Callithrix jacchus: one gene and its partners. The protein of the gene in region 5 interacts with the protein of the main gene of each other region in a pairwise test. Links are inferred from orthologs where the notes say so. Each region holds a gene or a part of one and is shown on either strand. Other genes may lie near its edges. The genes, in order: tripartite motif-containing protein 5, RNF138, RNF32, SIAH1, UBE2K, DTX3 and TRAIP.

What was found.
Region 1: the proteins of UBE2K (region 5) and tripartite motif-containing protein 5 interact in binary tests that used the Homo sapiens proteins (3 or more experiments, as listed by UniProt). The link is inferred for Callithrix jacchus from reciprocal best matches to the Homo sapiens genes UBE2K and TRIM5.
Region 2: the proteins of UBE2K (region 5) and RNF138 interact in binary tests that used the Homo sapiens proteins (3 or more experiments, as listed by UniProt). The link is inferred for Callithrix jacchus from reciprocal best matches to the Homo sapiens genes UBE2K and RNF138.
Region 3: the proteins of UBE2K (region 5) and RNF32 interact in binary tests that used the Homo sapiens proteins (3 or more experiments, as listed by UniProt). The link is inferred for Callithrix jacchus from reciprocal best matches to the Homo sapiens genes UBE2K and RNF32.
Region 4: the proteins of UBE2K (region 5) and SIAH1 interact in binary tests that used the Homo sapiens proteins (3 or more experiments, as listed by UniProt). The link is inferred for Callithrix jacchus from reciprocal best matches to the Homo sapiens genes UBE2K and SIAH1.
Region 6: the proteins of UBE2K (region 5) and DTX3 interact in binary tests that used the Homo sapiens proteins (3 or more experiments, as listed by UniProt). The link is inferred for Callithrix jacchus from reciprocal best matches to the Homo sapiens genes UBE2K and DTX3.
Region 7: the proteins of UBE2K (region 5) and TRAIP interact in binary tests that used the Homo sapiens proteins (3 or more experiments, as listed by UniProt). The link is inferred for Callithrix jacchus from reciprocal best matches to the Homo sapiens genes UBE2K and TRAIP.

Annotation. Positions count from the first base shown.
Region 1 is NC_133511.1:71,270,654-71,275,006, forward strand, and holds the start of tripartite motif-containing protein 5, read right to left. Parts: upstream 2,981-4,353; 5' UTR 2,793-2,980; intron 1-2,792.
Region 2 is NC_133514.1:75,214,575-75,218,498, reverse strand, and holds part of RNF138 (E3 ubiquitin-protein ligase RNF138), read right to left. Parts: exon of another isoform or gene 3,839-3,924; intron 1,593-3,838; coding exon 1,485-1,592; intron 1-1,484. UniProt on the Homo sapiens protein: E3 ubiquitin-protein ligase involved in DNA damage response by promoting DNA resection and homologous recombination.
Region 3 is NC_133512.1:91,573,854-91,577,777, forward strand, and holds part of RNF32 (RING finger protein 32), read right to left. Parts: exon of another isoform or gene 3,845-3,924; coding exon 3,720-3,844; exon of another isoform or gene 3,511-3,719; coding exon 3,402-3,510; exon of another isoform or gene 2,880-3,401; coding exon of another isoform or gene 2,790-2,879; exon of another isoform or gene 1-2,789. UniProt on the Homo sapiens protein: May play a role in sperm formation.
Region 4 is NC_133521.1:6,077,223-6,081,833, forward strand, and holds the start of SIAH1 (E3 ubiquitin-protein ligase SIAH1), read right to left. Parts: upstream 3,172-4,611; 5' UTR 2,710-3,171; coding exon of another isoform or gene 2,619-2,709; 5' UTR 2,539-2,618; coding exon of another isoform or gene 2,508-2,538; 5' UTR 2,440-2,507; coding exon 2,259-2,439; intron 106-2,258; exon of another isoform or gene 83-105; intron 1-82. UniProt on the Homo sapiens protein: E3 ubiquitin-protein ligase that mediates ubiquitination and subsequent proteasomal degradation of target proteins.
Region 5 is NC_133504.1:154,118,430-154,123,015, forward strand, and holds the start of UBE2K (ubiquitin-conjugating enzyme E2 K), read right to left. Parts: upstream 3,055-4,586; 5' UTR 2,866-3,054; coding exon 2,803-2,865; intron 1-2,802. UniProt on the Homo sapiens protein: Accepts ubiquitin from the E1 complex and catalyzes its covalent attachment to other proteins. In vitro, in the presence or in the absence of BRCA1-BARD1 E3 ubiquitin-protein ligase complex, catalyzes the synthesis of 'Lys-48'-linked polyubiquitin chains.
Region 6 is NC_133510.1:62,091,517-62,095,891, forward strand, and holds the start of DTX3 (putative E3 ubiquitin-protein ligase DTX3), read right to left. Parts: upstream 2,853-4,375; 5' UTR 2,826-2,852; intron 1,930-2,825; exon of another isoform or gene 1,655-1,929; intron 1,495-1,654; 5' UTR 1,432-1,494; intron 1,242-1,431; 5' UTR 1,195-1,241; coding exon 1,166-1,194; intron 829-1,165; coding exon of another isoform or gene 810-828; coding exon 80-809; intron 1-79. UniProt on the Homo sapiens protein: Regulator of Notch signaling, a signaling pathway involved in cell-cell communications that regulates a broad spectrum of cell-fate determinations.
Region 7 is NC_133516.1:32,452,296-32,456,219, forward strand, and holds part of TRAIP (E3 ubiquitin-protein ligase TRAIP), read right to left. Parts: intron 2,512-3,924; coding exon 2,472-2,511; intron 1,876-2,471; coding exon 1,748-1,875; intron 502-1,747; coding exon 407-501; intron 1-406. UniProt on the Homo sapiens protein: E3 ubiquitin ligase required to protect genome stability in response to replication stress.

The DNA of each region.
Region 1 (4,353 bases), on a different chromosome or scaffold from region 5:
TACAAAATATCTTTAGCAATGATCTTGAGAGCAGATCAGGAAGGGTCGAAATCTTGTAGCCTCCAGCTGCATGACTCATAAGCCATGGTGTCTAATCTCATGGCTAGTTTCTTGGTCTGGTCCCCAGGCAAGAAGGAAGTATATCTTAAGAAGGGGCTGTTATCATATCTGTTTTAGAGTATAAACTGTAAACCAGGCTTCTCCCAAAGTTGGTTCAGCCTATACTCAAGGGATGGGCAAGGACAGCTTGAGGGCTGGAAAGAAAATGGAGTTGTTTGGATTGGATCTCTTCCACTGTCTCAGTCACAATTTTGCAATGACAGTTTCAAAAGCTGTCCATCACTCCTTTGAAAATACCTTGTTCATCTGTGGTTCATTCACAACCTAACTAAGGTTTGTTGCTTTCACCTGTGAGGTTATTTTCTACAACGTTCAAAAGCCAAAAATCTTAACTGCTTGGCATGGCTGAAGTCAAGTAACAAGAGATTTAAAAGGATTTTCTTAAAGAGCTCTCAGCCTAATTATAAGTGGATATTCAAGTTACAGGTATATTTAAAAGGCCTTTTTCTCTTCTTGGATCTTGTTTTTCTGGAAAAAGTTTCTTTTTCTTCTCAGTTGACTGAATTATTTTTCTCCTGAATTATAGGTATATTTAAAAGGCCTTTTTCTCTTCTTGGATCTTGTTTTTCTGGAAAAAGGTTCTTTTTCTTCTCAGTTGACTGAATTATTTTTCTCCTGAATTATAGGTATATTTAAAAGGCCTTTTTCTCTTCTTGGATCTTGTTTTTCTGGAAAAAGGTTCTTCTTCTTGTCAGTTGACTGAATTATTTTTCTCCTTTTTTTTGGTCTTACCATGCTTAATGCATGCATGAGAGGCCCTAAAATAACTCCTGGTAGCATGGGACTGCTTGGGAAAAAACAGAGACGGCACCACAGACACCGTTTTGGGAAAAAAAAAATCTCTGTCTTCCTCATGAACCCCCCCAAATTTAACAGCAGATAGGCTCTCAAAATCAAAGGCTGTGTTCTGTTAGGCATTGTGTTATCTACCATTTTAAGTTTTGGGGGTATCAAATTACTTCACATTATGAGAGAGCCTTGGTGTGCAACAACTAGGTAGGAAATACACTGCAAGGGATGTCTAACAGTAGTTATAAGTCGGAGAAGCATACTCTCGGCCACCTAAAAAATATGGAAACATCCCCACCCCCCACTAAGAAATAAGACTCCCATAGTGGGGTGGGCTAATTACAAAATAAGCCAATTGGCTTTGTGTTGCCTTGTAATGAAACACACAGTAAAAGCAGAACACCGTCTTCTCCCATAGTATCTGCCTCCTTTCGGGACCCAAAATCCAGTATAATGTGGCACTCTTAATTTTAGGGACCTGACTTTGCCTTCAGCTGTGCCTGCTTTTTAGGCCCTAAATATGCATGCTACCTGGTCCTAGTCCTCCAAGGGCTCTATCCTAAAGCCAGTAATCCAATTAAAAAACTGGCAAATAAAAAAATCATACAAGTGCTGAATCTTCTGTCTGTATTCCTATATATGTGTTGTTTACAATGTCTATAAAAAGAGCTCTAATTAATTGGCTTAAGGAAAATTAAGCACATACATCAAATTTTGTTTGGTTCATGTAATTTTAAGAAATAAAAATTGTCTTAAGGATTATTGGTAAAATGCAAGTGCTGTCAAAATGCAAACAGGTGGTCTAAATCATACAACTTAGATACTAGGTTTGCTAAATGTTCCAAGGTTATGTACTGCCGGCTTTATAAATAGTCCTAGGACACATGGAGCTAGATGCTGAAAAGTCAGACTTTATCTGTGCTTCCGTCTGGGTCCTAGGAACCACATCTGGTACCTAATTAAAATTGCTTACAAACCAGGTTTCTTAACGAAAAATAAAAGTTGCTAAAAGTTAACAGTGCAACATGTATTTGAGATCACTAAACAGTTTTATGTGCAAGGCATATAAAAACAGTAAAATATATTTTTTAGTGAAAGATTGGAAGAAAGCATAGAAATGTAAATTTTGCCCTGGGATGAGGGATGTCAAATTTGATAAGATAGAGCTAGAAATTTAAGCAAGTTATAGAAAGATTGTAAAAAATAATCTTGCAAAAAAATGCGTAAGCATTAACTAAACTCAAAATAGCATTATATGGTCTTTTCATAAATTGAGGACCGAAATAAAAGCACAGCAGGGAGTTCTGAAGAGACTAATTTGCCTGTTAGTAAAAGGGTTATAAAAGGTTTGTAAAGATTTCACCTCATGCTCAAATTGGTTAAGATTAGATGAAACGAACTATAGGATTTCATTTAAACAAATTGGGGCTAACTTTAATAAATCAATGCAAGGGTAAAATTTGGCTTTAAACAGGATTATCATGTCATAGTGTAGGTTAATGAAAGGCTTTTGCCTTTTGAGTCATTTGGAAAAAAATTAATTTATATCAATTTTATAACATCAAGTGTTTTAAACCTGTAACATTTAACAGATGTACCAAAATCAAACTTCAAGCTTCAAAATTGTCTTTTCTAATGCCTGGCTTTTTGGATGGTTCAGAGGGCCCCTGAAACATTCATAATGGAAGTAAACAGGATTACTTAATAGAGAGTCAGCCCGGAAAAATAACCAGCCTTCCAGGAAACAAAGTCTTTCACTTTAAAGCTCTCCCTTCTTTCAAAGCTGCCCGCAGCACTGTTCCCATTAGTCAACCCTGGCAGCAGAAAGTCTGTGAACTGTCTTTTCCCCACCCCAGAACAGCTTTTAGGTAAGTTAAACTCACCAAAGCAAATTCAGTTTTGTCTGAAAGACTTCCTACTTTTGCCCTCCACAAACCACTCAATACACCTTCAGACACCAGTACAGAAGTGGTGATTCCGGGGAGAAGAGTGAAGGCAGGCCAGGGAAGAAAGATATGGTTAGGATTCACTCACCAATCCAGGGGCCTGATCTGCTCAAAGTAGTCTTTCTAAGAGGAGCTGCAGGAAATTCTTGCTCACATCCTGGGCAGAAAAGTGAAAGACAAAATATTGGGCCAATGGCATTTCGCCACGTAATGCCTGGTGAATCCCACCCTCTGAATGAGTCAGCCTGCTGTGTAGTTGTGCCATTCACAGGAGGAGCCATGGAAAATAGAGGCATCCCCACTCTATGTCCCTTTTCTCTTGAGTCTCAGGATCTTATTATCACTCCACTTCTTTTTGACATAGTCTCAGATTAACCCAACCAAATATTAAAAATTAGAAAATGTGCCCTTTACTGAAATTCTTCCAATGTGCTCCTCTTGTTCCTGATCTCACGTCTGGGTTCTGCTTCTGGGTGATAGATATGCCACAAAGAGAAGGAAGAGCAAGGTTAATGATTTTTAGAGAATTGCAGTAGGTTTCTGGTCTGGACGTAAAAACCTCATAGGACCTATGAACAGAAAAGGAGCTACAGATAAGACAGATGTCATATTATGAAGGCCCCCAAACCCAGAGAGGGGACAGAATGCTAGAAATTTATCTGGAGAGCCATGAAGAAATACCACATTATTACGCTGACTGCAGTTCAACCACTAACTTTTCAAAGAACTCTCCAACTTCCCCGTTTGTTTTGTTTGTTTGTTGTTTGTTTTGAGATGGAGTCTCACTCTGTCACCCAGGCTGGAGTGCAATGGCACAATCTCTGCTTACTGCAACCTCTGCCTCTCGGGTTCAAGCCATTCTCCTGCCTCAGCCTCCTGAGTAGCTGGGATTACAAACACCCACCACCACACCTGGCTAACTTTTGTATTTTTAGTAGAGACGGGGTTTTACCATGTTGGTCAGGATGGTCTCAAACTCTTGACCTCCTGATCTGCCTGCCAGCCTCCCAAAGTGCTGGGATTATAGGCGTGAGCCACCGCACCTGCCCCCCCACCCCCTGTTATTTTTTTAATTGCATTTTAGGTTTTGGGGTACATGTGCAGAACATGCAAGACATTTGCATAGGTACACACATGGCAGTGTGTTTTGCTGCCTTCCTCCCCTCACCCACATTTGACATTTCTCCCCAGGCTATCCCTCCCCAGCTCCCCACCCCCCCGCTGTCCCTCCCCTCTTCCCCCCAATAGACCCCAGTGTTTGGTACTCCCTTCCCTGTGTCCATGTGTTCTCATTTTTCATCACCCACCTATGAGTGAGAATATGCAGTATTTCATTTTCTGTTCTTGTGTCAGTTTGCTGAGAATCATGTTCTCCAGATTCATCCATGTCCCTACAAAGGAAACAAACTCATCATTTTTGATTGCTGCATAATATTCCATAGTGTATATGTGCCACATTTTCCCAATCCAGTCTATCATCGATGGGCATTTGGGTTGG
Region 2 (3,924 bases), on a different chromosome or scaffold from region 5:
GTAAACTGATTTTAAGAAAATATGCATTTATTGAATTATGAGTTGAATAATAAATTCTCTTTTTTTTTTTGTGATGGTGTTTGGCTCTCACCCATGCTGAAGTGCAGTGGGGCAATCTTGGCTCACCACAACCTCCACCTCCCAGTCTCAAGTGATTCTCATGCCTCACCTCCTGAGTAGCTGGGATTACAGGCACCTACCACCACACCCAGCTGATTTTTGTATAATTAGTAGAGACATGGTTTCGCCATGTTGGCCAGGCTGGTCTCAAACTCTTGACCTCAGGTGATCCGCCTGCCTCGGCCTCCCAAAATGCTGGGATTACAGGTGTGAGCCATCGCATCCAGCCAAGTAATAAATTGTTAACTATAACATGAAGTTATAAAACTTATCCTTAATTTTAAAGACTGTATTTGCTATCAATTTTATGCCCCATGAGTTTTGCTTTAAAGGCCTCAATTTGGCAATCTCAAATAATTTGATGACCTACTTCTCTATGGCAAGGAAAAACAATTTGACAATTAGATCAAAAGTGGTTTACAAATCTTTGTGTTTCCAAATACATTTGTCTAGACATAGAAATCTGTCTCACAATGAGAATTTAATAATAATCTAAAACTACTTCTTAAAATTGCTAAAACAATAAAGCACACCTAAATTTTACATATATTTTAATTATTTTGAAATAGGCTAAATAATGCAAATTCTAAAAAATTTTAAAACCATTTAACAAGAATGATGTAATTCCAACAATGGAAGGCAGACAAAAATGTAGATTTTGTTCATATCACTGTGCTTACCTAAACTGGAAAACAAATAGCCATTCTTTATCAGGACTAATTTTAAATAGGGTTTTTGATTAAACTAAAGTTGAATAATATGCAATTTCAGAATTAATTAAGTTTTCACCTAATTAAAAAACTATATCACACACATTTGGAAGTAGAAATTAATCTATTTTGCTTTACGAATTCATTTTTACATTATATAACTTCCCTTACACTCTTAAATATTCTCCTTTGTAACCTGGCTTTGCCTGATAACTAAGCTTCCTCATTTTTAAAAAGGATGTATCTTACATTTTAGATGTGAGAAATCTAAGATTTCTAGCATAGATACAAGCAACTTACACTACATGAGAAATATATCCTCCATATGTTCTACCAATTTCACTTTTCTTGTAGGTACAATTTTCTCTTAAATCTAGACAGTATATTCATGTAAATCATCATTTTGTTAATCTAGGTGCTTGCTGTTCCACTGTTAACTCTCTCTCTAGTACAGAGAGAGAGTTAATAAATAAACTCAATTTTTACCGTTTCTACAAGCTAAAGTTCACCAATATTATTAAAAACCAAAGAACTTGCACTAAATCCATCAAGTAAGACAAAATAGCTTGCCACAAAATTCAAAGTTAGATTCCAAAAAGTTACTTAACTTGAATAGTTAAACGGTACTTTCCTAATCTTGAAGAATTCACTTACCACAAATTCTCCATAATCAAACTGATGTCTTTGATTTAGATGACTAACAAAATTTCTAGTTATCTGGCGAGGATCTCCCCAAGGAAGAGACACACAAATGGGACATGTCTATAAGAAACAGATTGTTTTAAACAAAAAATAAGAAAAACAAAATATAATACAATTGAGAGTATTAAAATAACACAGACGTACATTACCAAAAACACCTATGTGAGAAATTTTTTTTTTTTTAAGATGGGGTTTCACCATGTTGGTCAGGCTGGTCTTGAACTCCTGACCTTAGGTGATCCACCCACCTTGGCCTCCAAAGTGCTTGGATTACAGGCGTGAGCCACCACGCCCAGCCGAGAAGCATTTTTAAAAGCCAAATTCCATTACTAGATAATTTCCCAATCAATTACTTTAAATAAATGACATTAACACAGTAAGAGAGATCTTAGGACATTCTATTCCTTAAATCTCTCTGTTTTTTTAATCCCACCTGTGGTATTTCAGGATATTCCTTAAATCTCTTATTACACAAATGTTTCAACAGAAACAGCACATCTAGCTTTTAATAATACTAACTGTAATGACAGTTATCACTGGCTGCCTGCAACATACCCAATATATTATCTCATTTTGATCTGTACAATAATCATATAATTATTATGAGCTTTATTTCATTTATAAGTAAAATAAAAATGAAGTAAACTGGAAAATTAAATATTAGTTTTTCATTATTTTTAATTTATTTTTTTGAGACAGAGTCTCGCAGGCTGGAATGCAGTGGCAGGATCTCGGCTCACTTCAACCTCCACCTCCCAGGTTCAAGCAATTCTCCTGCCTCAGCCTTCCAAGTAGCTGGTACTACAGGCGCATGCCACCACGCCCAGCTAATCTTTGAATTTTTAGTAGAGGTGGGGTTTCACTATGTTGACCAGGACGGTCTCGATCTCTTGACCTCATGATCCGCCTGCTCAGCCTCCCAAAGTGCTGGGATTCCAGGCGTGAGCCAATGTACCTGGTTTCATTTTTTAAAAATAGAGACAAGGTCTCGCTGTTGTCTAGGCTGGGTCTCAAACTCCTAGGCTCAAGCAATCCTCGCACCTTGGCCTCCCAAAGTGCTGAGATTAAAGGCGTGTGCCACCATACCCAGCCATATCCTTAATTTTAAATGAAATACATCTTAAAAAGTGAATGTAAGGCCGGGCGAGGTGGCTCACGCCTATAATCCCAGCACTTTGGGAGACCAAGGCGGGCAGATCACGAGGTCAAGAGATCGAGACCATCCTGGTCAACATGGTGAAACACTGTCTCTACTAAAAATACAAAAATTAGCTGGGCATAGTGGTGCATGTCTGTAGTCCCAGCTACTCAGGAGGCTAAGGCAGGAGAATTGCTTGAACCCAGGAAGCAGAGGTTGCAGTGAGCCGAGACTGCGCCATTGCAATTGCACTCCAGCCTGGGCAATAAGAGCAAAACTCCGTCTCAAAAAAAAATGTGAATGTCTTACATAACTAAAATCACAGACACACAAACACACACACACACACTTTAGTAACTGAACTCTGGCCAAAGTATGACATATCAAATATTATGCAGAAATGAGTAAGAATTTGGTAATCTAATATAAAAGTAAATAAAATCTTTTTTTTAATATCTTAAATTTTTTTTTTATAAATAAAGACGGGGTTTCACCATGTTGGTCAGGCTGATCTTGAACTCCCGACCTCAGGTGATCCGCCCGCCTTGGCCTCCAGAGTACTTGGATTACAGGCATGAGCCACCACGCCTGGCCAATAAAATCTTAAATATGAGAGAGATTTCCCAGAGACTTCTTTGGCATTGTACTTGTTTATTAAGTATAACTGAACCCATTCTATGTGGTATGTGAGAGTTTAAGGTCATCCTTAAGGGTTACTGAAGCATATTCTTTTTTTTTTTTTTAAATAGACAGGGTCTCACCATGTTGGCCAGGTTGGTCTCAAACTCCTGAGGTCAAGTGATCCCCCAACCTCGGCCGCCCAAAGGGCTGGAATTATAGCTGTGAGCCATTGTACCTGGTCTTGAAGCATATTCTTTCACAACTTTTCCTAGCATATTCAATAAAATAGCTTAGAAATATCTATAGTTCTTATTGATAACATTTCTCTTCCTATTTTTCCTTCCGAAAACAATATTTATATAACAAAATGTTCAGCTGAAAGGGAAATCTCTCCCAGCTCAGTTTCTCCTGTTCCATTCATTTCAAATAACTTACCTGTGAAACGCTTCTAGGATCATTAAATATTGGAATACTGCATTCTGTTCTTTCTCCCTCATTATCAAAAAGCTCTCACCATTTTCTTTTTCTTTTTTTTTTTTTGAGACAGGGTTTCACCATGTTAGCCAGGCTGGTCTCAAACTCCTGACCTCAAGTGATCCGCCTGCCTCTGCCTCCCAAAGTGCTGGGATTACA
Region 3 (3,924 bases), on a different chromosome or scaffold from region 5:
AAGTGCTCTTTATCATCAAGGGCAGCCTTTGAGGTCTGCTCGCATAGGCATAAAAGCATACAGGGCATGCACCCAGACAGGCAACTATTACTACTGCACATACACGAAGTTCAGTACAGACGGCTACTACCGACTGCTAACACACCACCGTAGAGTGAGCTCAGGCTTCGTTTATTTAACTTGAGATTTGACTTTACAGATCCCAAGTGTTTGTGGCCTAACGGGATAAGTAAGCAAGAGTGAACAAGATATGAAGGAACTGTAGAGAAGATTTAGGGAACTAGCAGAGAGCTGGGAATGCCTGGATTTCCCAATTGAACAATTAGAAGTTAAGGCAGTTGTAGGATGCCTATTCATGTAACAAATCTCACTGTGATCTGAATGTGTGTGCATGTGTGTGTACATCTCCTGTCCCCCCTGCCCCCTGCACAGGAGACTTGAACGGTCAGATGACACAGTCACTCGTATTATATTTAAGGTGGCAGTTATTGATATTTGCGGCCATGCTGCCATCTGCCACCCATCGGTGGCTCATAACATTGATGTAGTAGGCCCAGCACTTGGAAAATGAAATGGAATAAAAATCACAGTGTGGTGCCGGCGGTAAAAGTAGATCTTGCTTTGTGAAATTTTGTTTCTGTTAAATATATACAAGTGGTGGGTCATTGCTATAAGCTAAAAATAAAATCCTAAGGTCCCCAGCAACAGGACCAGCCCCCTCTTGGCCAAAGGGGCCCTAGGAAAACCTTAGCAATGGAATTCCCAGCCACGATGAGAAGACAGATGAGAGCCCCTTCATTATGCCTGCTCCTTGCTGGAGTTTAAGCTCAAGTGACCAGCATTCGTGTTAAGAGGTGATAAGGCTGACTACAGACTGTGGCAGTAAGAAACCAAAGTATAAACAAGGCGAAGTCGATGCCCAGCAAGGGACAGTCATGCCGCAGGCCATCAGTCTTGCCACACAGCACCCTCAACTTAGACGTTCCCTTCTGCTGACTCCAGTATTTAGGTAGAACTCTATTCCTTTAACCAACTACAAGTCTCTGAATCCACCTACAGTCTGTAAGCTCCTGCTTCCATATATCATGCTTTTCTGACCAAACCAATGTATCACTTCCATGTAGTGATTTCTGTCTTTGCCAGTAACTCCCACCTCCCTATAATGTGTAAAAGCAAACTGTAATCCGACTGCCCAGGGTGCACCTTCTCAGGACTCCCTGAGAGGGGGTTTCCTGACCTGCAGTCACTCATATCAGCTCAGAATAAACTTCTTTAAAATACCTCACCGAGTTTGGTTTTTCTGTTAACACAGTATAGAAGATATTTCTTATTGTGGCTGAGGAAAAGTTTGAAAGCCACTGCCCTAGCCTGTGGCTCTTGCCTGTAATCCCAGCTAACTGGGAGGCTGATGTGGGAGGTTCACTTGAGCCCAGGAATTTGAGACCAGCCTGGGCAATATAATGAAACCCTGTCTCTAAATTAAAGTTAAAAATAATGTGTACAATTTGCTCTCAACATATATCTCCCCATCACCCCTGCAAAAATAAAAAATCAGTTTTGCTTCTCAGTTTCCTCATAGATATTCAACTTAAGTGAACTTGCTATTTAAATCTTCTGAGATCATCTTCAAAAGCCACAAAGGAAAAATTACATTTGTAATATATAAGCTAGAATATCATTCATACTTCTCTTCTTCTTGATCTCTTGAATGGCATTGTTTAAACATACAATAAAGGTTTAGAGAAGACCAAAGAAATTGGAAGAAAGCTTAAACTAGGCTTTGGAAACCCGGCACATTTTAAGCAAGGCAGAGGGAACCAGTAGGAACGCCAGCAGGACGTGCAGGCGGAGTGTGAGTGTGCTCAGAAGAGCAGACGCAGGGGTCAGAGGAGGGTGTGCAGAGTGAGGAGGGCTCAGGATGAGGGGGCAGCAGACGAGATGAACCAGGGATTAAAACAGGACTTTTGGGGAGGTGGGATGGCCCCAGAGCTGCGGACCAGATGTCGGGTGGGACAGAGCTATGGATCTGCCTTGTCTACAGAACAGACTGAATTAGAAATAGGAGCCTGCCTGATCAGGTCTCCCAGCCCTGATTGCTCCTGGTCACTTGCTTTTTCTTATTTTTCTTTTCCTTTTTCCATGAAGCTGAAGGCTGTGGTGTCTGAACACCTGAGCACTGAGCCTGAAATGTACCCTTCACTGGCTACTCTACAGCTAGCACAAGGCACATGGTAACAGTCACTTTGCTTGTTTCCAGCAATCTGGGCCAGTTCTCAGTGGGCCGAGACTACCTACACTCTCAGTGGGCCTTTCGCTTCAAAAGTTATTATAAGATGATGTGGGCACATGAAAAGTATTTATATACATAAGGTAAAATGACTATCAAATCTGTAATTAAAATTTTATAAGAGGTGACAACAAACTTCTGATCAAAGAAACAACATATTATAACATTAGAAATTACCAAGAGTTGCTCAGAGAACAAGACTGACTGTCAGCGACTGAAGATAAGAAACTGGAAAGAATGTAAAGGCAGGATGAAGCAATCATGCACGGTGGTCCTTTACCAAACTGAGAATCAACACCCGAGATGAGCGAACTCTGAAGATGAGACATGGCTCTCTGGAAGAACAAACTGGCCAAACACACAGTAACTCACTTCCATACTCTAGGAAATGAGTTAATACTGATAAGAAACACAGAATTTCCAGCACCCATGGTGTGCTAGGCTGTTATAAATGACATGGCTCTTCTCAGGCCAACACTGCCAGGAAGAAGTGATGGCTCTCCTATGGCAGCCTTGGAGATGCCGCTGTTTGCCTGAAGCTACAGGCTGATGGGTAGAACTGTCCATTTTGTATGGGGACAAGGAATGGGAACTGTTGAAACAGAACATAAATAGTGGTGAGGAGGAAGGGCAGACATGGAAGTTAGCACTAAAGCTCATTTTGATGACCCCACGAGGTACTCAATACAATGGTAGCATATGGATGGGGGCTTTATTTTTATAGGTGGCTTCCATTTTCATTACTGTGAGAGGTACAGCAGATGTCTTCATTTATGTATAACCCAGGAGACTGGAAAAATTAAGCTGGTTTCAGTCTTGTGTCTGAAGAGATAAGTTTATTTAAACAATTGGCACAAAATGGCCAAATGGAAGTTGCTTAGATTTAACCTAATTTTATGAGTTTTCTTTATGAAAAGAAAATCTAAAGGTATTTTACCATCTAGATTGGAAAGCGGATTTAAATTAACGGGGTTTAAGCAGCATCTCGACCATTTTTAAAAAGCCCTCAAAGTGAAGTAAGTCTCAAAGTTTTACCAGCTCTGTTAGCAGTCCTGACCCTAAGTGAATCACCCGCACAGAGGCCGTATCTGGAGAATTAATGATCTCTACCTACCTTTTTTTCAAAGAATTTTTTTCTTAACTTGGCATCTGTGGGAGGTACTGTTTTCCTCAGGTTTTGGTACCACTTTCTAACGACGTGTCCTCTCCAGCAGGCTTGGATTCTACAACACAGATATTTGAAAATGACTAATTTATGATGATCCTATGTCAACCAACACTTCAGTAGTTGTTATAAGCCTGTGCTGTACAAGGCCCTGGGGAAATTATGGTGGCCAAGAAGAGAGAGACAATGCCAGTATTTTAAAAAATTAGTTGTCACAGCTTGATCTCTGTGTGTCTGCTTAGCGCCACGTGGGCCTGGCATCCTCACCTGGTTGCACACTTTATTCTGAACAGGCGGGCCCCGTCATGTATCACTCGGGTTTGATACTGGTTCTTTCTACAGAGAGGACAGGTTTTCTTATTTGTGAACTTTTCAAAAGCCTGAAGACATGCCTGAGGAAAAACATCTCACTTAAAATGTTATAAGTAATTACTTATAAACAATATTTTTACTTCCAACGTTAGTATTCTAA
Region 4 (4,611 bases), on a different chromosome or scaffold from region 5:
TAATTACAACCATGACTTATTTTATAAATAATGTTTATATGCCAGAAGTATTTTTTAAAAGATACTAAAAAAATAAAATTACACTGAATGTGCACTTTGATTACTAGGATCTGTACAGTGGATCAGCTCTATTTTCAAAATGTTCCAGAACACATTTGGAACTCCCTTTAAGAAAAAAAAAAAGTAAATATCATCTTAAATAGAAAATGGACCATAAACTAGAGAAACTATATAACGAACTGAAGTTTAATCGAATCCATTTTGATAGTACTCTCTCCTCTGAGATTCCCTTACTCTATTTCATTCCAATTCTGAGTCAGCTGTTGATAGGCACAAGGAGTTACAGGTAAGATCCTGTGTAAAATCGGCACTCTGTAACCACAGAATCTGCATCTGAGGACTTCACCAGCCATGGATTGAAAACATTCAGAAAAATTTTAAAATAATACAAAATTTTTAAAATAAAACATATATAACTATTTACCAGCCATGGATTGAAAATATTCAGAAAAATTTTAAAATAATACAAAATTTTTAAAATAAAACATATATAACAACTATTTACCTATTATTTACATTGTATTAAGTGTAAGTAATCCAGAGATAAATTATACAGGAGAATATGCACAGGTTATATACAAATATGATAACATGTTCTATCAGAGACTTGAACATCCTCAGGTTTTGGTATGGGGAAGGGGATCCTGGAACTAATCTTCCGAGGATACCACGGGATGAGTGTAGTTCAAATGCCTTCCATTAACTCTTCTTAATGGTGAGCAGTTACCTACTCTAGAGGTGTAATTTAGGAATGAGGGGAGGGATCACAAGGGGAAAGATCTGCTGCCATCCCCTTTATCTATCAATCTGCCCCCCAAATTATCATCAGCCAGGTATTGATCTTCTTTCCTACTGATCAGTGCCCACCTCAAGAGTGAGGGGATGTACTCTCTAGTGAAGGTAGCAAAAATATAAAAATAAATAAAAACACAGCAAAAGTGAAGGGAGACGTGGGAGAAATGGAGAGCCATCTCAAATAAAACTTTTTGGTGTCGTAGAGAAAGCATATCTTTCTCTATTTGCAATCCACAATATAAATCAGACATAATGAACAAAGAAGGAGAGTCAGGGAGAAACTGAACAGGGGAAGAATACAGATAGCACGGCAGAGACACACCACACTGGGAGTGGGGGATGGAGTCAACAGGTGTAGAACCCCTTAGCCTAGGGTTCTCCAGCGTTGTTTAAACATTCATCAGCAGACTAATCAACATTATTTGACAGATAAATGTCATCTGGAAGAAATGATCGACAATGTAACTAGTCAGGCTGAGTCAAAGATAAAACAAGTAACTCATCCCAAAGAGCTCCCTGGGCTGGGATATAGGAGGCCACTATTTGTCTTGGGGGTGAAAAAATAGATCGGTCGATGTCCTAAGAATACACTCCTAGTAACTATACTAAGCCATATTCTTACAAAGTTAAAGCCTTAAAGTTAATGTTTTATCTCAATTATAGTCATTATTCTGTTGCAAGAAACTTTTGAGAAACAATGTTAGTTACCAATATGACCAAGTAAATGCAACTTGGGTTCTAGATTACTCAGGTGGTTACCAACTGATACCTTAAATGAAGGCTGAGGGTGAAGGAAAAATAAAGATTAATTCCACATCACTAAAGATATATTTTAAAGTTCAAGAGGCAACAAAAGTGACAATTCCATCATAATGTGTCTCATCATATAGACTCAGATCATGAATCAACTCTCATCTGAAGCCCTGTGTAACCCAGGTGTTCTGTACCCTGACAAAAGGACTGTAAAGGAACTCTCCTGTAATCCGGTTTCCCTGAGTGGATTCTTTGTACATACGATGATCCATACATTTTATGTCACTTGTAAAACAGTGGGCTCAGCATTGCCAAAACATCCTGGCTGTATGCTGTATGCCTACTGCATGGTCCAGTTTATGCTGCTTACTGAATTAACAGCATAACAATTAGAAAGTGTTTCCTTGGGCACAAAACAGTCTAGGCAACCAATACCTTTCAAATTACCAAACCAAACCAGAGAATCACATCCAAGGGCAGTAAACTCAGTTTATATTTAACACAACACAGCTACAGACCAATCAAAACATTATTTTTCAATTTCTTGACCTAGCAGTAGTTATACATTTATCATCAACAGTTCAGGCTCACATTACAATATATCTTTATCATTTTCCAAACACTGTAATAAAGCAGATTTTAACTCTTACTCAAAGTGTGAAAACCGAAATGGGAACAGGATTTCTTGTAAATGGAGGTATACAGGACAGCAACTGCTAAAGCCTCTCCAAGCTCCAAAGGTGCTACCCAGCTCCATCTTGAAACAGAAAAGGAATCCCAACCACACAGCCGCCCTGCAGTAGGAACCAAGGACAGCCCTGCAGAAGTCATGACGTAACCTGAAGTTTGATTTAAACAGAAAAAAAGCACAACAGCCCAAATGAAACATGACTGCTAACCTAGGAAACAGCTCGATTCTGCTGCAGCCATTCCGTAAGCCAGGCAGGTTCCACTGACTAACAGCGTTCAAGTTTCACAGCCTCAGCAACCCATCCTGTTAATGTCAATACCTTTTCTCTTCCTTGTCCTAGTCGCCGGTAAACATGTGAACAAGACTCCCCTCCAGGAGTAAAGAGAAGGTGGAATAGGCTTTCCCGTCATGAGAACTCAGGCAGCTCACTGCCTTTTCCAAGAAGTAAAGGTACAGGACCCTCCTGGGCACTTTCTGCTCCTAAACACAAAAGACCCAAATTGGCGTCTGAGGTCAGGATCCAAATATCGTTTCACTTCTCAGAAGCACCAGTTACAGAGGTGGAGAAAGAAAGCCTTTCCATCCCCAGGAGGCAACCACACCTCCCCGTGAGCTCAAATTCGGCTGCATCTCCGAAAATGGGAGCCACAGCTGCGCTGTCCTCCACCATGCCCTAAGCCTTCGTCTGTCTCCCAAGTTTGTCTTCTCCAGATTCACTGGGTAGGCTCCTGCTCGGCTCTGGTGGAGGGGTGACCCGCTGGCTGAGAAGGAAGTACGCTCCCTGAGCCAGCTCAGGGGCTACTGCAGGAGCCCGCCTGCCGGGAGAGCCATTTGGAGCCTCGGCCAGCTGGGGATGGGCCTGCGCCGGGAACGCCCGCTCCAACCAGGAGAGCCAAGGGCCAGTCCAGGGCGCGCAGCGTGCAGGGCGGTGCCCGTCTCGCTCGCGCAGAGGTGGGGCCGTGCCCGCAAGCCCCGCCCCACAACCCAGGGCGGGGCCGCGGGACCCCGCAGCTCTGACCCCGTGCCACCCCGCCATGGACCCCACCCCGCCATGGACCGCATACCACCGCACCCCAGCGACATCGAGCCTTCCTCAGCATTTCCACCAGTTTAAAGTTAGGTGGAACCATGCCGTTTTCGGTGTGTCAGAACAGTCTCATATCAGGAGTTTCTTACGGTTTCAATCTAAGAGCTACAGCGTATCTTGAAATGCGTGGCCACACTGGCGCTCCGCTCTACGTTTATCCGAACTCTAAAATTTTGGAGTGAAAACATTCTCCCTAATTCATTCAACAGCTATTTACTGGCATCAACTACTAATTTCCTCAATTCTAGCTCACTTCACTTCTCCTATCGGTAATGTATTTTAAATTCCCCTTCCCCGCTGCGAAAACACTTTGCAGGAAAAGTAGTAAGCATACTTCTGCCACATTAAACTCCTACTTAAACCTCCTAAGAGAGTATACTCTCTTCCCACTCTGGGAAAGCCATCTTAAATGGCCTCATTAAACGCAGAGTAGCTTGTTTTGTTTTTAAACAAGCATTACCCTTGCCCCAATAAAGTCCTGGGCCTCAGATTTGCATTGCATCAGCTAGTGCGTGCAGAGGTTTAACCTGTCATTACATCATGCTTAGGGCAGCCTCTAAATGCAGCAAGAGCTGGCAGAGAGGAATCAACCCAATGTAGGGAATTGCAGATTACCCACTTTCAGCAAGAAATTTTAACTCTAACCACTTCCTCACTCTATTAACAGTGTGTTCAATCACCTCAACCTCATTTTACAATATAGGCTACACAAAAGAGTATTAGGAAAAGAAATATGATTGAAAATAAATACAGTCTACCCCACAGACAAGTTTTTTGTTTTGTTGTTGTTGTTTTTGAGACAGGGTCTCACTCTTGCCCAGGTCTGAGTGCAGTGGCACAATCTCCACTCACTGCAGCCTCGGTCTTTTGGGCTCAAGCAATCCCCTCCCACCTGAATCTCCCCAATCACTAGGCACCACCGTCTTCGGCTAATTTTCTTTATATTTTTGGTAAAGACAGGGATTCCCCATGTTGCCCAGGCTGGTCTCAAACTCCTGGCCTGACACTATCCACCTGTCATGCCTTCCAAAGTGCTGGCCTACAGGCGTGAGCCACTATGCCCAGTCTGTATTTTTATTTTCTAACATTTATTCATTCAACAGATCTTAAGTTTCCCTAGAGCAGAAAACTTCAAATATTTTAGATGGAGAAACTCTTCCAAGCAGAATCACAAAATAACCAAAATGTATACAACAAAAAGATGACTATTTCTCAAGCAAAAGAT
Region 5 (4,586 bases):
ATGCCTAACAACTTTGGAATATTATTTAAAACGACTTAAAATTCATACTCATATTTAAAAATAAACATCTAAAACAAAGAAAATAAATATTAATAAATTAAAAAGAAACATCTGACAAATTTCCAAACACTGTCTTAAGGGAAAGAGGCCAAATGGTGCCTTTTTTGAGTAAATCACGTTCATATGACACATAATTCAAAAAATATCTACTCCCCATGCCCCAGAGACCCAATTCCCCTACACAGAAAGCAGTCAATTTTTCCAATTTCTCATGAAACCTTTTACCTGCACAGGCAAATACACATATTCCCCTCCATTTGAAACAAATGGTGGCCTCTCCCACACTATTCTGTATCTTGCTTTTCACATTTATCTTGTTGGCTGTATTTTAATTAACACACTCTAAGAATGGCCACCACAATCCAACAAGCGTCAGCTATCTCTACAAAGACACTTAAAAGGCCACCCCAAAAAGTCCTTAAATCAACCAGTGTTCTTACTAAACACAAGCACACAAGCATATGAAATAAACTTTGGTAAAGTGCAGATTTACCAAAAAAGTGACATGATGAAATAGTTATTTGATCAGCCATTCAAAAGACTGGATTTACACCCTTAAAAAGGAAACACATGGACTGTACTACAAGTCCTTCAATGAGTTGAAAATAACAATCTACTTATAGATCTGGGACACTAAAATGTCAAAAAATAATGGTGAAAATAAGCTATTTATTGGTTATATTTATTCCAAGATTAAGTGATGTGAACTTTTCCTAAATGTTCTTTGCAACTTATTTTCCTAGAAGAAGTTTCTTTCCATATTTCTATAGGTACTGTTCTCAAAAAAAAAAAAAGTTTGTCGTCCCTATTTTCTTCTTCTGAAACGCTTATGATACTTATTTGAAGTAAACCATCATCCCTTATGTATAATGAGCAGTGTTATTTTAACAATATGCATTACTAGAGAGCAATACAAGTATTTCTGGTAATCTTCAAGTTAAGTACTAAGAATACCACGGTGAAGTCAGCTCATAAAAAGCAGAGACCATATAAATTACTAGAGTAGTAACTTACCACTTTTCAGTAATAGAAAATAAAGCATTAAAAGTCTATTAAGTTTCAAGCTTCTACAACCTTATTAAACAAGAAATGTTTTAGGTTGTTGGCAACAATATTAGCTGCTATCTTCCATTAGAAGTATATATGTCAAATATCCTGGAATACATTTTCATATTAAGTTAAAATTGCTGTTTCACTGTTATCAATACAAACACTTATGACTCTGTTTCTGCACTGTACCACAAAATACAAAGTCATCCTTCCATTCAGAGTTTTGGCATATGAACAGAGGTCAGAGTTCATACACATGCTCTGTAAAACTGATCATGACTTACATACTACTACTTTCAAGAAGCCTATTTGTCATTTTTGAATTTTAAACAATTTTTTCTTCATGTCTACTCATCACATACTTAGAATGCTGAATTTCACTAATCACTATCGACATTATCGAAGTACTAACCGTAAAAGAAAAAACACAAAAGCAACGATATATTCAATAATGGTACGTGAATCTTGAAAATAACCATTTTCTGTATTACTTTTTGTTTAATCCTTGTGGGGAAGGCAATCTGGTATTCTTGTTGATTTTTGGTATGAAAAACTGTACTAATACTTATGTAATTCTGAGTCAAATTACTAGAGCATTGTGAATATCTTACTTAAACGTACTAATATATCTAAATTCTGCAGGATTTAAGAGCAACGGGAGGCAATTTTTTTGAAAATCTGCTATATCGTGATAAATCTACTCAATAAAGAGATAAAACAGTGTATTAATCTGGTAAAAGCACACGTTTTTAATAGGTCTACTTTTCAAAAGTAAGAATCAAGTTAACTATGAGGGACATCATAATGAAGTTTCGTGGCACAACACTAGTCACAGAGGTACTGTATTAGGACAGTCTCTCTGATCTGTAACTTGTAAACAATATTTTGAAATAAGCTACTCTTACATTCCATTTTTTTTCTAACTAAAAATATTTAAATGTCTTTAATACACCAAACACCTTGCCTTTGCCCACTCAAAGACTGAGATGTCGATAAAGACGAGGCCTAGGAATTTGGGGGTAAAGTGGAAAAGACATAACGATCTCATTTGGAATTAACTTGCTAACAGAGGTGAAAATTCCCTTATCCCTGCCACCGAATAAGACAGTATTCTATTATTCTCCCCTTGACTCCTAACACCCAACTAAGAAGGACTAACTCTGAATGTCCTTCCTTTTTAATCGATACCTAAGGACTCACCGCTCCTTCCCTAAGAAAAGGACGGTGACGGCCTGACAGGCAATAACCCAGAATATCCTCAAAAGTGTGGGCCTTAGAGCAGCACCGGCTCCTCCGGATACAGTTACCACCTTTCCCCTTCCCCCAACCCACTTCCCGGGTTTTCTCGGGCTCGGCCTGCTCCCTCCCCACCCCAGAGCCACACTTCCAGCTGTGGCCACCGCCTCGGGTTCTCTCGTGAGCTTCCATCCCGCCGAGGAGTTCCCCCCTGTCCATCAGTTCCCCAAACTGTGTTCCACCCCAGACCCCCCGCCCGCCGAGACCGTCCATCCTAGCGCTGTGGGAGGGGAGGGGAAGGCGGCGGAAGGAGGAGGGGAGCACTACTGCTTCCCCACAGGCAGAAGGGCGGCCGCAAGGAGGGCCACCCAGGGACTACCGGGGATATCGGGGTCACGCTGGGAGGACCCTCCCGCCCGGGCAGAGGTGGGGGATGTCCGGGAGTTCATTTCTGACCTCCTCGCTCTTCAGCACCTCCTTGAACTCCCGCTTGATTCGCTGCACCGCGATGTTGGCCATGTCTCCGCCCGCAGCTGATTCGTACCCGCCTCCTCCGCCACCGCTACGACCACCGCCACCGCCGCCACCTCTTCCTCCACCGCCTCCTCCCTCAGCGATTCAGACCCGAGCACACGAACACTGCCACTACCACCCCGGCCACCGCGCTCTCCTCAGTGTGGAATCACCTCCGCGCCCGGCCACCAAAATGGCGCCGGGTCCGCGCATGCGCATGATGCTGACCCGGCCGGGCGGCGCAGCCGCTCCCGTTGTAGCCCCCATTCGCCCGAGCCACGAGCGCGCGTCTCGACTGGGGCTGCGGCCGCTTGACTCCGCCCTGCCGGCGTCTGGAGCCGGGAGGGTGCGCCTTCCAAACTGGCCGGGACCGCCGGTCCTCCCCGGCGCCTCCACTTCTGTTTAAACCCGGGTGCTGTGGTCCGGGCTGCCAACCCCTGGACTCTGACCGAAGGTTCGGGTGCAACCGAACGGTTCCCGAGGCCGCAATCGGCTGGAGCGCCTTCCTGACTCAGCTAGACCCGGAACCCGGTGGCTGAACGCCGGGTGCGGGAAAACGTCTAGTGCAGGAAAACGCTCTCCCGGAACTCGATCCGGCCCATTTTCAGTTGGTGTAGCCCCAGAAAATCCGCTGCAGTCGTTTTTGTTCTGCAACATTTATAGTACCAAGATTATTCCCACCATCTCAGGTAGCACAGATTATTGAATTAAGGCTGGTTATTGTTGAATCAGATCCGGTTTGAGACAGGTATTACGTGGAGAGGCCTGATGATGGATCTAGAAGCCAGATGTTGATCTTTGACCTATTTAGATAATACAGAGCTTGATACACACACACACACACACACACACTCGCGCGCGCGAGCACATACTCCCACTCCTATACACACTCACTCCTGTGCCCATCCCTAGAGTGTAGGATGGCCCCAAGACACACTCTCTCTCTCACTCATTCTTGTGCCCATGTCTGAACTAAAGCATGTGAAAATTCATATAAAAGTGAAAATTGGAGAAATAGAAACAATTATAGTGCTTTTCAGGGCACTGGGGGTGGGGGAGGGGAGCTTTACTTCTGTAAACCTAGGCCTACAAAGGTGCCTGGTGCTAGTAGGCACTCAATAAATATTGAATGAATAAATGAGTACACGTAAGAGTAAAATGTTTTGGCTGCCACGGCGGATCGCTTGAGGTCAGGAGTTCGAGACCAAGACTGGCCAACATGGTAAAACCCCGTCTCTACTAAAAATACAAAAATCAGCCAGACATGGTGGCGGGCGCCTGCAATCCCAGCTACTCTGGAGGCTGAGGCAGGAGAATCGCTTGAACCCCGGGGACAGAGGTTGCAGTGAGCGATATCGGGCCACTGCACTCCAGCCTGGGCGACAGATCTGTCTCAAACAAAACAGAACAAAAAGTGCAAAATACTTTAAGTGGAAAGTCAGTTTGAAAGTGGTTTCTGGTCGGGCACGGTGGCTCAGTGCTGTAATCCCAGCACTTTGGGCGGCCGATGGTGGCAGATCGCTTGAGCCCAGGAGTTGGACACCAGCCTGGGCCCCATGGTGAAGTTCCATCTCTAAAGATAATAATAATTTTTTTTTTTTAGAGTGGTTTCTAAGGCTCATAGTAATAATGATATGGTACTGAGAAACACTTTGAATAGAACATTTTAGAATGAGTAATAAAGATGTTATTTTAGAAGTTTATACTTCATGTACTGCCTTCACCTA
Region 6 (4,375 bases), on a different chromosome or scaffold from region 5:
AAGCACATACCCTCACCCAGTTTTCCTAGGTCAGAGGCTGGGGAAGCCAAAGGATAAGGGCAGGACATGGTCTTCTTACCCCTTGGACACCGGGCGGGAAGACGTACTGGATGACGATGGTGCCGTACTTCTCGTAGCTGGGCAGTAGGAGGGTGGCGTCCTTAGAGACCAGCATCCGCCCATTCTGGGGCTGGTTGCCCACCAGCTGCCCATAGAAGCGGCCACACATGGGGCAGGCTTTTTTCACCTGCAGAGCCCGGGTGATGCAGCCCTCGCAGAATGAATGCCGGCACTTCTCCAATGTCTTGGCGTTCTGGATCTCCCCCAGACAGATGGGGCAGGTGCTCTCCTGCTCTTCTGCCTCCTCCCGAAGGCGAGGAGGAAGAGGTGGGGGCAGTGGGGGAGGAGGAGGGGGGAGCCCCCGAGCCCCTGGGGGCAGAAGTGGGGCTGCTCGGAGAGGGGGTGGGCCTGGGCGGTGCATCTCAGGGTGCTCCCCTCCACCCCCCAGAGCCAGGCAGCCCATCAGCTCCCCCTGCCTCTGAGCTTTCTTCAGCTCTTTCTCTGCCTCTTTTAGCAGCCCCTTGAGAGCCTTCCGGGCTAGGTAGAGCCCATTGGGAGGGGCCGGGGGAGGGCCCTGTGGGGAAAGCTGGAGAACATAGATGTCAGAAGTCTCGCCATCTATAAGGATGGACACACGGTGCTCCTCCCGAAGCCGGGCCAGCCGGGCTGGGGTCTCCTTGCTCAGGAAGTCCCACACAGGCTTGGAGACAGTCACTTTGTTCTTGCAGGTGCCTCCACAGGCTGCCATTCTGGACAGGACGAACGACACTGCCCCCAGGGTGAAAGGGACTCAGGGTGGGGGGTCCCCATTTGACAAGTATCAGTGCCTCCTACTTCAGATTCTTTCCAAACCCCCTATTACCTGTTTCTCAAAGCCTAATCCCCAACCCTTCCCCCAAATTCATATTCTATCTCCCTTTATCTTCCAAAGCCCACTGAAGACCAAGCAAGTTTCCAGAACTGTATTATCATCTAAACCAAGCATCAGTCTTGTTTCTCCTGTCATTTCTCCCAGATCGTAGAGACAATTTGCCCCTCCCACCTCTGAGGGAAAAATGGGCTCTTTAAAGGGGAGGGAGATTTTTTGCCCCTCCTTTTTGCTTACTTTGATCCCGAAGAGCTTAGAATTGGCATGCAGGCTCACTCTTTTTTCCCTGCTCCCTACTTGTAGGTCGTGTGACCTGGCAGGGCGGAAAAAAGGAAGGAAAGTGAGAAACCCCTTCTCCCAAATCCCCTGGCCCCCAACCTAGCAGCCCATGGAACAGAGACAGAAACCTGGGCATAGGTTACTGGGAATGGGATTACTTGGAACACGGAATGAAGGAAACCAGTTTCAGGGTGAACATTGAGGATCCCTTGTTGGGGAGGTACCTGGAAAGCCCATGGAAGATGATGGCAGCAGAAATCCTTCTATTTCCACTCAGCTGACCAGGCCTGGGAGTGGGGGAAGGGTAAAAAGTTATGATGGCAAATGTTACCATTTCCCTCAGCCAACCCAGAAATAAAAACTCCCCTTCCATTTCCTCTATCCTCTGCAGAATTCCATCCTCAGCTTCTCCCCAGGTTGCTCAAGAAGGAACTTCAACATGCTAACCTTCCTCCTTTCTTCCCCAGCTCTGAGGCCCCCAAGAAAGCCTAGGGCACACATAAGAGAAGCCAGGAAAGAAAAAGCCCACACAGGTGGAGGTCTTCCTGACGCCTCCCTCAGATCACATGAACTGGAGTATTTCCTGTGTTCCCAATTCCTTGCGCTGCTCCATATTCCCAAATAATTCAGCCCCTATTGCCAGGGAGCCTTCCTTGAGAGCTAACTCAGTCCCTTCCGCTGAAGTCTGTTAAAGAGGTGAACGAAGTGGCAGCAGCCCCCACAATAACAAAGTTCTCATTGTCACCTTTTAAACCCAGCACAGGCAGGGCTGTCTGTCAGCTCCCTAGTCTGGTATTTAGGGAGGGGCGGGGCTCACACAAGGGCTCAGCTGGAGAGGCCTGATGTTTCCCCAGAGTCTGGTCGCATTGGGCTACAGTGCTGTCCCCACAACACCTCCCAATGCAGCTCAAACAGAAAGAGGGGCCATAAGTGTGACCTCCATTTATTGACTGATCCAAAAAAGGAGCAGCTGTCCCTTCATGTTTCTATCATCATCCCCAAAGGCCAGAGGCACCTTGAGATTCATAAAGTGAAAATGGAACACTAGATCTTCAGCCCATACAGTCTACCCGCGATGCAACACCTCCCGTCTCATCACAGGGGACCCAGGACCTAGGTGTCCTAGCTCCAAGTCCTGCTGGCATAGAAAAGGGAGGCGGGGCCACAGTTTAGGGTGGGTCTGTGATTCCTCCGTGGCAACCCAGGCCGGACAAGGGACCAGTCTCCCTCCAGACCCAGGCCGGAGGGAGGGACAGCCGGGAAGGGCAAGGGTCCCTGGGGGCATCCACTGAGGCCGCTCCAGCCCTCCCCCCAAGGCCTCCTCCAACACCCGACCCGGAACCAACTCCCCACATCTCTCACTCGCCGAAGCCCCCGGATCCCCACCCCCGGGTGGGGGTGCAGGTCGGCCCGATCGCAGCTCTCAGAATCCCCGAATAGAGGCCAAGGCTGGAGGGTGCTAGAAAGATGATCGCCCGGGCCCGGAGCTGGGGGCCCAGAGCCGCGTACGGGGAGGGGTGGGGGAAGAGGGGGTGCCGGGGGAGCGGGGGGCGTGTGAGGGGTGCTAGCGGGGCCTGGGGGGCGCGCGGTGGGTGTGGGGGGCGCCGGGCTCACCTACCTCTCGTCAGCGCCGCCATTGCCGGTCACATGACTGAGGCTGTTGCTGGGATGACGGTCCGGGCCTTAGCAACAAGGGGGGGGAGACCCCGAGAAGGTGGGGGGTTGCAGGGGGTGCAGGCTGATGGAAAGGGAAGGAGGGAGGACAGCACCCCCTTTCCCCTCACAGGTGATAATCACCGTTCCCTTTGACCCCCTTCTATCCGCAAGCCCCTGCTCTTCCTCCCCAGAACAAAAATGGAGGAGCTGTCCCACTCTTTGGAGGGAGGGGGTGGCGTCACGGAACTGAGGGTAGGAGGTTAAATCCCTGGAGACGCCACCCTTCTCGCTCCCGCCTCCCAGCAGAGCACTCTCCCTTTTCTTTCCCAGCCAGCTGCGTAGCAGCTCCCGGGAGCTGGTGGTGGATGGGTGGGTGAAGTGTTGGTGGGTATATGGGGATTCGGAGGGGGGAGGGCGGCAATTTTTTGAATCCTTGTGGTAGAAGGGCCTTTGAGGAACAATGTGGGTTGGGGAGAGTCATAGTAAAAAGAAAAGCATTGGTTCTAAAAAATAAACAAATCCCGGTACTAAACTATTTCAATCCCCTCCCTCATCTCCTGCCTCTTTCTAGATTGTTACCTCCTGTGACCCCCACAACGTGCTCTCAGATGGTCATTGGTAAGTGCCTCCGATTTTCTCTTTCCACAAACGGATATGGAGGCTGGTGCAGAATGGGAAGTGAATACATTTTTTAAAAAGTGGCTTGGGGTGGTGGTTGTGTCAAGTGTATGGTTCAAATAGAGTTAAAAACTCTCAAAGAAAAAAAGCTCTGCTCTGCTTCCCACTTCAAGCAGTCTCCGCCCCCAATCCAACTCACTTCCCTGAGGCCAGCCACATCAAGCCAGGTTTTTCCACCAGCCAAAAGACTTTCTCAGCCAAGACAGGAATCTCCCAAACTGGCAACAACCTCTATTCATCCACCCCTTTTTCATTCCCCCTCTAGACTGGAGGGCTGGTCACTTTCTTCACTTTCCCAGGACCCTGCTGCAGCTGTACTCTTCCTTCCCTCCAGGAAGAGGACAGCTTTCCCAGGAAGTCGGTGGGGGGTGGAGTACTGAATTCCTTTTCTTTTAGCAGGTGGGCTGAGAGGCCCACTCACCTTTGCCAAAATGGAGTGTTAGCCAAGCCCAGAACTCTGCGAAGAGGAAGGGTCCCATCACCCTACTCTTCCCTGGCCCTCACTACCGCTGACCTGCCACAAGGCTAAAAACTAAGCTTTCCATTTCCGTGCACACACTTCACAGCCTTTTCAAAAAAGTTCACAGCCATCTGTCTAGAAACCCACATCCTTAGTTAGGGGCTCAACACCTTGAACACCAAAATTCTTCAGCTGGTTTCTGCACCCTTAAGCACAGGCTTCCTCAGAGAAGTGAAATGTTAATAAAAAAATTTAAAAAAAAAAAGTATTTCTGTACAGGAATTTGGATTGAATAATTTATTCCCTGTATTATGATAGCAATGGGAGCAAATACACGAATTTTTTTTTTTTTTTTTGAGACAGAGTTTCGCTGT
Region 7 (3,924 bases), on a different chromosome or scaffold from region 5:
CAGCCTAGGCTGCTAGGATGCTTTAGCAGGTGGGTGTGCCCAAGGAAAGGCTCCACAGCAGAGATGAGCATAGTTCCAAGGATGCTGCTGAGAAAGAACAGGTGCTGACAGAGGGTCTCAAGGTCAGGGATTTCCTGGAGAGAGGTTCCTAAAGGGAAAGATCCCACCACGTCATCTGGCCACCAGCAACAGACAGGGAGAAATGTGGCAAGAGCCCCCATGGAAAGTGCAAGTTCATATAGGCTAAGATCTGTGCCCACACCCAGCTGACCTGAGCCCTCCATGGCCTATGCAGATTTGAACCTCAGACATGACATAATTGCACTCCCTGCTACAGTCCTAAGAACTGTACCACTTGCAGGTCCTGGGGTCAAAGGCATGGCGCAAGACCCAGCTCCAAACTTACTGTTCCATGGTCTTCATCTTGCTCCTGAGTTGGCGGGCCTCCTCTCGAGCTTGTTTGGTCTCATCCTGTTGCTGCTCCAAGTACTTCATCTGCTTCTGAAGAGCAAATACACCCATATCCGTTGCTTGGAGGCCCTCAGGAGCCATTGCTAAAGTCACTAGGAAACTCTGCTCCAGAACTTTCTACACCTTATGTTTTGAAAATGCTGATAACCATGTGCTCCCAAACCCCAGGAGGTAAAGCTCTTGGGCCCCACTCTTGCTTGTGCTTCTTCTGCTAAAAGGCTCTAAGCCAGCTGCTTCCTCATCTCCCTGCCTGCTTCCCCTGAAAGGTGTCTTACAGTAGGCACAGCCCATTGCCAGCATTTACAGGCTTGCTGTGGGCTGCCAAGGTCCAGTGGTCTGGGCCTCATGGTGTATGTTGTGCAGGTGGCTGAAGTCCAGAGAACAAACCCAGGCCTCACTATCACCCAGACCCATGGATGGTTGGCAGGAATGGAGAACTAAGGCAGGGGAAGCTGGCCAGGCTGCCTTCAGTCTAAGACCACTTTGTCTCTGACCTGAGAATACCATTAGAGACTCCTGCTCTGCAGCCAGGTGCTAGTTTCTCCCTCCCACAAGCCAGACCATGTGATCCAGCCCAGCCCCTAAGCAGGAACACAGACAATGAATATCCTGGGGCCTTGTCTGTTCACAAGGATGGCTCCCTTTCCCTTTCAAATGGCATCCAGCAAGGACTGCTCCTGCCTACAAGGCCAGAATATCAATCATGGGTTCAGATCAATCGCTTCTCATGCCCCTTGGAGAGCAAGAAGCTCACCAACCCAGGCTGATGCAAAATTCATCTGGGTCTAGAGCTGTTCACTCTGCAGGCTTTGATCTGCCCGGTTAGCTCGGCACAGCTGACTTCAAAGGCCCTTGCTCCTCCCTAGGATGCTGTTTGATCTGGCTCAGGAGAGCAGCCCAGCCAAGGACTGGAGTGCTAATGGAAGCTTCTTCAAGCTGGCCTCATCAGTAGAGTATGAACCACTTTTGGAAACATGGAGCAGCCTCACTGAGGTCTTAGTTGAACATCCCCCCTGTGAGGTACTGGGAGGGCCTTGCCTCTCCAAACTACCTAATACAAAATCCACAAGTACAGCCAATATGGCCCTTTTCTTATGGGATGGATGGGTACAATATGGGAGGGCAAGAGGAAGAAGTGATTTGCTTCTATTTTACAACTGCCCAAACCAAGGTATTGACTGTAGCAGAACTAGAAGATAAGTCTAGAATGGGGAGCCCAGTTCTGGGGCAATCTTTCTTCCCACTAATTCTGTACCCATAAAACCTGAGGACCTACTTTCAGTGTGGAGCACAGCATCTCAGCCTTGTCCAAGGCCTGCTGCAGAGATTCCACAGTAGCATTGCGTTCTTCCAGCATGTCCCGCAGAGAGTCGACAATGAGCTGGGTGTCCCGTTTCTCCTTCTCTGGAGCAGGGGTAGAGGGTGGGGGAAAGGGAAAGTCCTGTCCATTCATCAGCATGAGAACTTGGGCCCTTGGGCTTCAGTGCCTCATCCCTTAGGAAGGTGAGAAACAAGGCTCAGGCCAGAAAGCTGGGTGGCACACTTCTTTCTATGGGATGTGCCAAACCAGAGAAGCTAAGCCAGAGCCTTCATTCAGGGAAAAGTCCACTTTCTGCTGCTTGAACTACTTAGGAAAATATTTTACTGCCCACACCTCACCCACCACAGGTCTAGTTAGTTTATCATGCTAGGATTCAAGCAGCCAAACTCAGCAGCTGAGCCCTCTCCCAAAGATATTCTGTCCCATTAGGTAGACCTCTCCCATCTTGGTTCCTAGGCAAGAAGCTGCACTCAGAGACAAGAGGCTCACCTGGTCTAGGTGAACAGCTTCAGTCACCTCCCTTTCCTGCCAGCCACAAGAGCTAGCAGGACTCTTGGACATACAAAGCAGGGAAAGGCCCTGGCTCTGCCAAATTGTTTGAGACCTTCCTCCTAGGGCCCCCTCTCTCCAGCATCCAAGTCAGGGACTTCCCAGCACTCCTTGTCTCTTGCTAACTTACCTTTCTGGGAAAGCTGGGCTCTGATATTATCCAGTTCATTCTGCAAGGCAATACCCACAATAAGCAACAGGAAAGCATCACAGCTGACCTCCAGGTAGCCTCCTATAAGGCTGTTGGGAGCTCTAGGATTTAACAACGAGACCTTCTAGGCATGAATCCTGCTGTACCTCAAGGCCAAGTTAAGCTAACAATGGAGAGATAAGCACTGCTTTAGCTCTATGTGCCCTTTTGAAAAGTAGGTAAAATGGAGGAAAATAATCTCAGGAGCAAGGCCCCAGGACAGGGAAAACGTAGAATAGTGGAAGGGAAGTAAGGTTGGGCCCCTGTGATCAGTTTCCATAGCACTTCTATTGCTTCCTTGGCCTCATTGCTCTGTGCTAGTCTTGTTCCCTCTGGGCATCAGCTGCCTCACCAGTGACACACAATAGGAATGTCCACTCTGGGTCTTCCTGATTCATAGTCTACTTTCCTCCAAACTCCAAACTGGCTCTGCGGACTACAGACCTTCCAGCCCCAGGATCCAATAGAGGTAGGTGTGCCAGGACAACTTTGTACCCCTGGATGAAACTTCCCATGTGTCTAACTAGCCTCTAACTAGACTGTTGTGAGGATCAAGTGAGCCTCTCAAAGCCCTTGCAAATGTTGCAGAGCCATGCCACAGAATCACTGAGAAGCTATGGCAGAACTGAACCCAGTTCCTATTCAGGAGGCCAGAGAACTCAACATCTCCATGAGCAAGTGAAGTGCATGCTCCATAACAAGGAAAACCAAGGTTATATAGAACTGAAACGTTTGACCAAGGGTACATGGTGGTAGCTAGATGGAATCCAGGCAAACCTTAATCTAGATCACCCATCTAAGGTCAACAGAAGACTCAGAATTTCACATGTGACCAAGAGTATGGCCTAGACCCAGTGGGTAAACAAGTCCCTGCTATCAAACTCTCCACCCAGGACTCTGGAGGCAGGAGCTTCTGGTGGCTGGGCTGGTTAGTATAGGCTGAACAGCTGGGAATGGAAGTGGTGGGTAAGGAGGGGCACGCAGGGGCTGCCTAAGAACAGATACCAGGCCATGGCTGCTGCACCACTACCCATAGTCCCCTGGCTTCTTCCACACTCCAGCAGGGGCTTCCAAGCCCTCGCTCCAAACTAACTAAGATGTTGCTACCTATCTCACAAACTTGGCTTGAAAACTGTAAATAAATCAAACTGCCTTTGCTGCTTTCATCACAGGGAAGACACTACTTAAAACGGGGAGCAGTTACCATGACAATGAACATGCTTTCTGTAAGCACAAAAGCTCCATGTTCCTGAAGCAGTGAGGTTCCAAGGATATCATGACACCCTAGGGCCAGAGCCAAATGAACTCTGATCTGACAGATACCCAGCAAATTAACCCTCAGAGCCCAGGGATCATTTGTGAGCCCCAATTCAACTTCCTCAAGTTCTCTGCC